2 linked regions of the Oryzias latipes genome follow. The protein of the gene in region 1 interacts with the protein of each later gene in a biochemical or structural test. Links are inferred from orthologs where the notes say so. Each region holds a gene or a part of one and is shown on either strand. Other genes may lie near its edges.

Region 1 (5,025 bases):
AAAAAAAAAAAGTAAAACATGTAAAGTCGTGTGCTCAAATGTAGTTATTTGAATATGTCTGCATTATTTTTTACATTTATTTTGTACTCACAAATTTGTAAATCTGAGGAGTTTTAACCATAACAAAGAAGCCTCCGTGTTCATATGGCTGGAAGTGCGACGTGTCTCCTATTTCAAAGCTATGGGAGGAAATGACTAATGCAGCAAACACATTCACACACCCAGAGAAACAGAAACAGGACAAATGTTACTTAGATTAGGTTACTTTTGTATTTGCATGTGGTGGCATTGATGTGCTGGATTAAAGACCCACCTGAAACCTGCCGTGTGGTGCCATTGAGCTCCACCATGCCATTGATTTCTCTAAAGATAACGCTCTGGCCCGTCTGCAGACCATGGGGTTGGTTGTCTATGCAAGTAACCACCCCAGAATTGTCCTGAAAAAAATATGGAAAAAAAAGAAGAAAAGGACAAGTTCAGCAACAAAACAAAAATATCAGGATAACTGATTAGATAACTTTATGTAAATTCCAAGAGGCATAAGCAGAGGAACAGGGAGGAGTCTTAATTTGAAGAACAGAATGTGAAAGTATTATGACTACCTGAGTGATACTTTGGATGAAAATCTCCTTGAGCTCCTCCCCTGTGGGATCCGAGACCTCAAACGCTTCTCCGAAATCACAAAAGACCCGGACACAGATTCCATAAGCGTCACTAGAGATAAACTAACACAGACATATTTTTTATTTTAAATAAACCGTTTTTGTTATAAGTAATATTGATCTTGGTAAAACCAGGGGAATGACTGTAAACTCACTCTTATGGGAGGCTGCTGGGAGTGGCAGAACTTATTTATTCTCTTCTGCAGGCTCAAGCTGGACTCTGTCAAAATCACACACTGCAGGGGAAAGCACAGCAGTCAGTATATAGTAATACCTTCAGGAATACAGGAATAATCTTGTCTTAAATTATGACAAAAATTTTCTTTCATAAAAGTTGACAGTACAATTTAATATAAAGCTGCCAATAGCACAAGAGCATTTGCAGATTTCTTGCTGATCTGACGTTTTTTCTGGAAAAATTCAACAAACTAGTCCAAGAACAGCATAACGTCTTCCAAATGTAGGTGGTGGACATGTGCTAGTAAACAGTAGCAAAAGAAAAAGCAGAAGAAGCCTCTGCCAGCTTGTCCAGTGTGAACACCCAAATGTGTGTTATAGAACCCAGGTTTAGGCGCCACACACGCTCGGTGTGAACATAACATAACATAAAATATGTCGACTTACCTGATACTTTTTGAGAAAACTCAGGTCAATGTTGTCATCCAGGGGACAGGAGGACATGTCAACATGAACATAAGGGTTCAACTCCCCAACACGAGGGCACACTGCTTCCACCCTGTAACAGGCAAAACAAGAGGCTGAGTATTGGTACACAAGACAAAATCCACAACAAAAGGACAGAAAAAAAAAGAAAAAACTTTTTCATAAGTAACGATAAGATCAAGTGGCTATTAACTAATTTTCAAGTTCTCTCATCTAGGCTTCTACGCATGTTATTTAGTAACAAATGAGTTGACAAAAGCCATGCATAGACCTGAGTTTTTGCTGCACCTAAAGTCCTACTCCGATCATCTTTTGATCTATTCAAAACGTGTTCCCAGATGTCTTTTAATTATGATCATGCTATTTTTTTTCTGGGACACAGTTTCTACAGGGCAGTAGTAGTTCATTTTAATAAATAACAAAAATATTCAGAAATGCAGTATAAAGCCTAATATTTTTTTATACATGCCCTCCATCATGAGAAAAATTGCCACAAAAACAAATTAAAAACACCAAAAACCTGATTTTTAATTGAAGTGGTTCTTTACAAACCAATTCATAATCACATATAGCAGTTAATCATCTTTAGAAACCAATGCTTGGACTTGCAGAATGCATTATTACCTCTTCCTCTGGTTCAATACGTCATCTCTACGGATGAAGAAGTTACACCCCAGATCCCAAGTCTCACACAGTTTCGTGTCATGGAGAGTAACCGTCTGTTTAAAAATAAAAAATATATATATAATAAAACCCCTTAACTAAAAAAAAAAAGACATGTTTGCTATTTTATTACAAGAAAAGTTTAAAAGCCCTCTTACCTTCACACCTGCCAGAGTTATATTCTTGGCTGTAAGAAGGAAATGATTGAGTATGATTTTTTTTTTTTTTTTTTTTTTTGAATCTATCAAAGATAAAGAGTTGTGGTGCAAACGTGTGTCCTCTTCTCTTGCTCACCTATCTCCACTCCCAGTGCTCCCATTCCACTAAGAAAGACAGAGGACTGGGCCATCTGCTGCATGGCACCGTCTCCAAGCACATATCTCTGGCGGCTATTAGGAAGCACATAAATAAAGATGTTAGCTACACTCACCAAGGAGACAGACAGCTGCACGTGGAGCTTCAGGTCATCAGAAGAAGAAAAAAAAGAACACCAAAAACTGCACTTGCCTGTAAAGTGAGTCGTCAATCTCCATCAAGTCTGCAGCCATGCTGGGAGGAAAAGGGCTGATTCAGCCGGTTTAAAGATAGCGACTCTACCTTAAGAAGAAGGTGCACGTAACAAATAGAAAGTTGATATCGAAGATGTGAGACACTTTAGTGTAAATAGATGCAATGTGGACCAACGCCCTATTTATTAAAAGTATAGCTTGGCGGCTAGCTGACATTTGATGGGAGGCAAGTTGTCAACAGTAACAGTTCACGGTTAGAACTCGTTACATAGGACTTGTTCTGATCAAATGTTACAACGACTACAAATTGTTTATAATGATCGCGCATGCTCGTTTCTAATCTCGAGAGGAAAAAGCAACGTTAGCCACAAGCTAGCCACGGATTTCACTTCTGCCCAGTTACCGGTAGCGAGGACAGCCACCGTAAACTCATAAAAAGTGGTGACACACATTTGTTAATATAATATGCAACTTTCCGGGTTGTTCAATCTTTTAGAGAGATCTCCAACTCAGCGAGGACAATGTAGGTTTTATTATTTATAGAGTTAAAAACTAAACCCAAACGACTTACGTTAATAGCTGACAGTATGCGCGACGGTCCTCGGCGAATGAATGGCTGTGAGTGGTTGAAAATTTGAAGTGGTTCCGGGTTACAGTAATCACGTGATAGCAGTCATCCAATCATGTCGTGGTGATTAAAATGAGTATTACAGTACATAAACTAATACTAATAATAACAATAATAAACTAAATCTGCATATTTTTTTTAGCAGAACGGCATCATCTTAAAAAACCCTATTGGTATTAATACGTACCATTACATTGTGTTTGATCATATTGTTTTTCCAGCTATTTCCACCATCTGTACTAAATTATCTAAACAACCCGGAGGAGATTGTTCATCTTTGCAGTCAAATAGAGGATGACAGGCAAAAACAACCTGTCTTTTTTCAGATTCAGAGCTGCCAAGACAATATTGATGCACACATGCTCTATTCAGTCAGTCTATCAATCTTTTTGATGGTATACTGTATCTTTTTTGTGTTGTTTATTTGTGTATTTATGTGCTTTGTAGGATATATCAATTTTGTCCCTTTTTATTTAATTTTTATGTACTGATTTTTATCAAAAACCCTTTCTTTTTTGTATGATCATTTGCACTTTGACCTGATTTGACTTGGGTAAAGAATGAGGGTTTGATGAACTGGAGAAGCTGGAGAAATAGAACAGAACATGTTTGGGTGCTGTACTGTTTAGAGAAGCAAAGGTCAACAGTTTGGTGAAACATTTACATCCGTTCAACTCCTGTTGCTCTACAAGACAACGATGACGAACACACAATAGTAACTGTTACTTCAAGTTTTGAATGCATTCTTGTTTGCATATAATTCAGTCTAAAAGGCCTCTTTCCTATTTTACCCTAAACAAGAAAAAGCCCTGACTTGCATTTGTCAGAAAACTATTTTTCAACCCTGGGCACCTTAGTCTGAGAGGCACCCTCCCTTTCAGCATATTGGTCAAACTCCCACAGGAGCCCCCCACCCCCCTGAGCTGCAGCCAAAACTAAGTCTGAAACAGACTGAACTGCGTTCATCTTCCAAAGGCTTGCTCTTCTTTGGCAATGTGGGGCAGTCGCATGGCACTACGTCGGCTCCAGAAAATCGCTGTTGCTCCCCTGAGCATCAAAGAAGGCGTACCAAGTAACGTCCAGAGAGAAATGTCCACCCTCCAGCGGGTGTATGTGACCCGACAGATCCCGCCTGAGGGACTGAAGATCCTCAAAGAATCAGGACAGTAAGTTAGAAAAATATGTCTTTCTGAAATGTCTTTCATGCTGCTCACTGATATTGAAGCACTTTCAACAAATTTGTTTTGTAAAGATCCCCATTTTTAGAGGAAAACTTTTAATGTTTGCATTTGAAATTGTAAGATTGCAAATTCCATAACCTCTTTAATATATCTATATCTTAAATTTCCAAATATTTAAAATAGAAATTTTGATGGTACATAGAACAATGAGGCCTCCGTGTTTTTGAGTTTGTTCATTTCAACCCATTATGCACTTCTGACCTCTGCGGCTGATGACGACATATTGGGGTTGCTTCAGATCTGTGGTTTCATGTTTTGCCCTATAGGGTGCAGTTTGAGCTGTGGGGCTCAGACGACGTTCCTGTACCAAGGGCGGAGCTGCTGAAAAAGGTCAAAGGTGTTGATGGTCTGCTCTGCGTGCTGACAGAAAAGATTGATGCTGAACTGTTGGATTCTGCAGGTCTGTTTTTATTTTATTTTATTTATATTTTAATATATTAAAATAGACTTTTTGGTGCAAGATCATGAAAGTTTGCAAATCTGTCCCTGCAGGTCCAAATCTAAAGGTTCTCAGTACCATGTCAGTGGGTTTTGATCATCTGTCTTTAGATGAGCTGAAGAAAAGGTGACCTTTCTCTTCGCAGCAGAAAACATGAAATGAAAACATCTGACAGCATGGATTTGCATTTTTCCACATAACATTTCTGCATTTTCCTGCA
Region 2 (4,955 bases), on another chromosome or scaffold:
ATTGGTGTACCAGACACGGTTTGATATGAAGTTATTGTGAAATAAAAACTATGTGCAAGTTCTCTTAGGTGGATCTCCTGCTGCATTCTGCAAGTCTCTCTTTCGGGATGATGGGTTTGGAACCAGTGCGTTTTCCTTGTTTTGCTCCACAACTCCCTTAAAAGAACAACAAGATTTGCCATTTAAGTATCTGAATGACATGTGCAGGTTACATATGAATATGAATTACACTGCAATCAATGTCTATGAAGACTCATGTCTATGAAGACTCTCATAGTAGTAGATTATCATAGATTGGAGATGACAGACAGTTCCAGGTTGAAGTGTACAGAAATCCTACTCACACAGATCAGTACCTGTTATGTGATTCAAACCACCCTTTACAGCACACAAACTAGGTGTTATCAGGACTTTACAACACAGAGCCCAGGAGGTGCCCACAAGCTCTGACGGAAAGAAGAAAGATGAGCAACATATCCATCAAGCCCTTCAAACCTGTGGATATCCCAACTTGGCATTCACCAGATCACAGTTCATCTCAAACCAATTAATACTCTCAGACAAAAACTGGTTCATCCAAACAAACAGAGTAATGTTGTGTACTCTATCCACTACAAAGAGAACTTCAATGAATAGGATATAGGAGAGACCAAACAACCTCTACACAAGCAGCTTTACCAACATCGCAGAGCCAACCCAAGTGGACCCGAGTCTGCAGTGCACCTCCACCTGAAGGCCATAAACCACTCGTTCGAGGACAGTGAAGTCCAAATTCTAACCAGAAAGAAAGGATCATTTGAGCGAGGAGTGAAAGAAGCCATCTTTGTCAAGAAGGATAAACCTTCTCTTAATAAGAATGGTGGTCTCAGGTTTATTCTTCCATCCATTCTCAGCAGTGTTCTGAAACCCAAACAAACCGAACCAGTTCCAACTGGGTCGTTAACAGCTGAAAAAGATGACCGATTTGGGGTGGGAGTCCCTGGCTCCCCAACCCCAGCTGAGGACAAAGGACTCTTAACGACCCGAAAACACGCAGGCTAAGTTGACAATACCATCCAGTTTCAGGTCTGACTCCTCCTCCATGAGCGCGTATATACCAGCTCTTTTGCCAGCTAATTCAGAATTGACAAAGCCTCTTGAATAAGAGGTGAAACGTCTTCCAACTTTAAAAAACTAAGTCCAGATGACAGCCCCTAAACCTAGTACTATGACTGGAATCAATGACAAAAGTGACATATCAAAAGATCAAAGCACAACTGCCAGGGGAGTAAACTGTGTGGTAAAGTGATCCACACTTTACAGTATTTGACTGAACTAGATACTAGACTGCATTTCTCTATAACCTAAAATGGTCAGATTCCAGTGGTTTTGTCAGAATTCAGCATTTTATCTACCACAAGCAGTAGATAAAAGATGACATTCAAAATCTCAAAAAATAAACATAATCATAACAGTGAATCGTCCACATATCTGTTGACTTACAGAGGTTTTCTGAACAGCATGTTCCTGTGTGACCTTCCTGGCCTTCTCCAGAAACATGTGTTTGTTGTATTTGAACTCTGATGACTAAAAAAAAAAAAGTATGTTACAATATATACTTCATTACATGCAGTTTATTCATTTAAATAACCATTTCTTCCACACTGGTTTGCCTCACACATGTTTCATCAGGTGTTAAAAACATAAAGAAAGATCCTTATTTATTGCAAAAGTTCCTCAAATATTCAGTAGTTAAACATGTTTTGAAAATGTTTCAGAGTAATCAAACTCATGACTGAATTGGTAAATGCAGAGAGCATATTTTGACAAAAACTTTTTTTTAATATTACGCACTATGTCAGCCATTAATGGGTCATCTGGATTGGGCTCAGCCATAAGCAGCTGAATGGAGGTGAGAACCGTAGAAATGTTCAAAGAAGGTCTCCAGGCGCCCTAAAGAAAAGGCCAATAAACAAACATTTTTAATTTTAATAAATCTTAAAGTTGCCAAAAACAGACTGAAGACATAACAAATCACAAATAATGATTACTGTGAATGTTTTAAACATTTCAGGGAAACAAAAGAAGCCTGTTTGGTGCAAAGTCCAACCTTTGGGGGAAGTTTGAGAGCATCATGACAGATGCGCCCCGAGTTATCTATGTTCGGGTGGTAAATTGGCGTCAAGAATCTTATATTTGGAGGCTCAAATGGATACCTGTAGGAGGTCAACATCAGGTAAGTTAGGATCAACACCTTACAGATGTTTTTGCAAAACAAAAAAGACAAAACCTTTCTGGAACTTTGATCTCCAAAGAGAAGAGTCCACCTTCATATGGAGTCCCTGATCCACCCACGATTTCTGCAGTGGAAAAAGAAAAATGCAGTGCCTGCTGTAAATCCACAGGTAATATTTTCAGACACACTGAGCCGATCACTCTTATCTAAACAGTACTAAATACATGTGATCACCAAAAATATTATTGTTGAAGTTAAAATGATGGGTCCTACTAACTACTAAGTACACATAAAACTGTCAAAGATTTTGTCACTCTTTTCCTATGATTCTCCTTGTTTGCATCTAGGAGAGACCTTAGCATTCAGATTAGAGACGTGCATTTATGCTTAAAATAACAAGGAGTACTTAGTCACACCAGTAGATTATAAATTGTCGATCAATCGATAAGACTTACGTGCACGGAGGTCATCAATCTGCTCGTCGTTTTGCCAGCATGTTATCCCAGGAGGAGGCTCGGTGCTCAGCATCTGAAGTTCGCGCTTTAAACGAGAAGCTCTCTGCATTCTTGACAGGGATTCAAAAGATGTTTTAAAAAATCAGCTAACTGTATAACGTTTCTTCAAAACAAAACAAATTATTCTATAGATTAAATATGTGCTTATAAACTGGCAGATGAAATACTACTTATTCGCGCGCTTTGAAATCAGAAAGAGAAACATGTTTATTGTACTTCAAACGGAACTCACTTGACACTTTGAACCACCTTTCAGACGTCGAATTTTCCTGCAGCAAGCGAGATGCCTCAGCTTTTGGTTTGGATTTCCCTCGCTTTGTAATCGAACGTCAAATGCCGTTCTGTTCTTCTTCTTCTCCTGCTCTACTTCAACGGGCACACGATCGCCACCTACAGTTCTTTCCCGGTATAAATTCAGCCCGCAACATTTATTTATGTATTTGTTTGTTTGAATTAGGACGGTGCATATTACACAATGTTTCAGCAGCTGCTTTGACATAAATATGCCAGAGTTAGCACAGAAGCTAAATTTCATCCGTTGTCCTAAGTCAGGATAAAAGGTTCAACAATTACATTTGCAACACCATAGCACAATATTAGTGGTAAAAATATTTCCAAAGGTTATTTACAATAAAAAGCGAGTCTATACGAAACCAAGAAAAACACCAAGAAAAAATTGACAAACATCAATAAACGAATAAAAAAAAGTTTTTTTTTCTTTACCCCCCCCCCTCCCTTCCTCCCAAAAAGTAGAATATAGCATATGAAAAACATCAGCTTCTGTTTCAGTTTTGTCACTTTTTAAAGATGAGAAAAAAGGAAAAGAGGCAGCTGTCTTCCTGTCTAAATGCGCTCTGATTTGAAATGTGAGAACATGTTTATTTTTGAATGTTTTTAATTACACACATCATTATGTATTTTGTAGTGTTTGAAAATATGAAAGAAAATACTCTGATAATCCCATTTCTTGAATGAAACATACAAACAAACATTCTCAGTTAAACAAATTGCTTCATTCATAGAAAATGGAGCAAGTTGTCACTCAGGTGCTGTGATATTGATGTCTACCATTTGATTAAACTTCCTCCTCGTTTTTGCAACATAAATTATTTCTTACCAAATGATTAGAGCAGATATTTTGAACATGTATATTTTTTAGATCCAACTAATTTTATCTTTAGTGTTGTTTTTATTTTAATGGTCATCATGAAAGAAATGTGACAACCAGCCCTGTCTCCTGTTTCTTTCTATTATTGACCATATATTTAATGCAACTGGTTAATACTGTAGTATGTCATGAATACTCAAAAAGTAGTACTGAATTTGCCATATTTAAGCAAGAAAAGACATTTCAATATCATAATCAACATCATTATCAATCCCAAAGAAGCAATTTATATTTACACTAAAAGAGCTTAGATCAAAATATGATACTTTTAAAATACATATTTTTATATATCTGGCATAACTCTACCAGCAAAAAACAAAGCTTCAATTTTTAAATTAACGCATTAATTACTTAACACTGTGCTGTGGAATGCCTGAGCAACAACCAAATAGCACAAAATGGTTTACTGTAAAGCTAATGTTCAGTTGCAGGCACATCATTGGCAATCTTTTGGTTGCACGTGTGAGACAAATACACACATGATCATTTGGACGCAATAGCAAAAATAGCTTGAAATGTTAAATCATGGTGTTGTTTGTCTTCCATTCTGACATCGGTGAAGCCACAGTCTCTCAGAACTGTCATGTAGCCCTCTGGGCGCCAATTCTCTCCTGGCATCACACCTTTGGCTCCCAAAACAGCCACATGTGCTAGCCTCAGTGTGCTCACCATCAGGCCTCCTAGGTGGGTTTAAACTCAGTTACTCAAAAAGTATTGAATTTACTTTGGATGACAGATGCATGCAGGAATAAAAACAAAATAAAGTGTCGGCTGTAAAATTACCAGGCTTCATAACGCGGTGGATTTCTAGAGCTGCCTTTTTCTGGTCTGGCCAAAAGTAGTAGCAGTTACAGTGAAAAACTTTATCCACACTGCTGACTGCGACAGGCATCGCAGCTACATCACAGAGGTGTAAGGTAACTTTCCCAGTGGCGAGAAAATCCTTCATCCGTTCCTTTGCCATCTGTGACAAAATAAACAAAAATTCCAAATAAAATTTTGTTTAAAACAGTAGCTACAGTGTGAGCTTTAAACTTGAACCCAGCCCAATGTATTT

The links. The genes of interacting proteins can lie anywhere in the genome.
Region 2: the proteins of uba6 (region 1) and ube2t form a complex in vitro, tested with the Homo sapiens proteins (2 studies listed by BioGRID, with this or other methods). The link is inferred for Oryzias latipes from reciprocal best matches to the Homo sapiens genes UBA6 and UBE2T.

The regions. Positions count from the first base shown.
Region 1 is NC_019859.2:12,641,956-12,646,980, reverse strand, and holds the start of uba6 (ubiquitin-like modifier-activating enzyme 6), read right to left. Parts: upstream 3,153-5,025; 5' UTR 3,069-3,152; intron 2,586-3,068; 5' UTR 2,537-2,585; coding exon 2,496-2,536; intron 2,378-2,495; coding exon 2,283-2,377; intron 2,176-2,282; coding exon 2,147-2,175; intron 2,045-2,146; coding exon 1,950-2,044; intron 1,399-1,949; coding exon 1,287-1,398; intron 899-1,286; coding exon 818-898; intron 726-817; coding exon 603-725; intron 438-602; coding exon 314-437; intron 196-313; coding exon 92-195; intron 1-91. Other genes in the region: glyoxylate reductase/hydroxypyruvate reductase, read left to right, coding at 4,119-4,291, 4,633-4,766, 4,859-4,931. UniProt on the Homo sapiens protein: Activates ubiquitin by first adenylating its C-terminal glycine residue with ATP, and thereafter linking this residue to the side chain of a cysteine residue in E1, yielding a ubiquitin-E1 thioester and free AMP.
Region 2 is NC_019865.2:13,520,912-13,525,866, forward strand, and holds the start of ube2t (ubiquitin-conjugating enzyme E2 T), read right to left. Parts: upstream 3,423-4,955; 5' UTR 2,963-3,422; intron 2,781-2,962; 5' UTR 2,780-2,780; coding exon 2,671-2,779; intron 2,340-2,670; coding exon 2,270-2,339; intron 2,196-2,269; coding exon 2,090-2,195; intron 1,933-2,089; coding exon 1,834-1,932; intron 1,567-1,833; coding exon 1,483-1,566; intron 157-1,482; coding exon 49-156; 3' UTR 1-48. UniProt on the Homo sapiens protein: Accepts ubiquitin from the E1 complex and catalyzes its covalent attachment to other proteins. Catalyzes monoubiquitination. Involved in mitomycin-C (MMC)-induced DNA repair.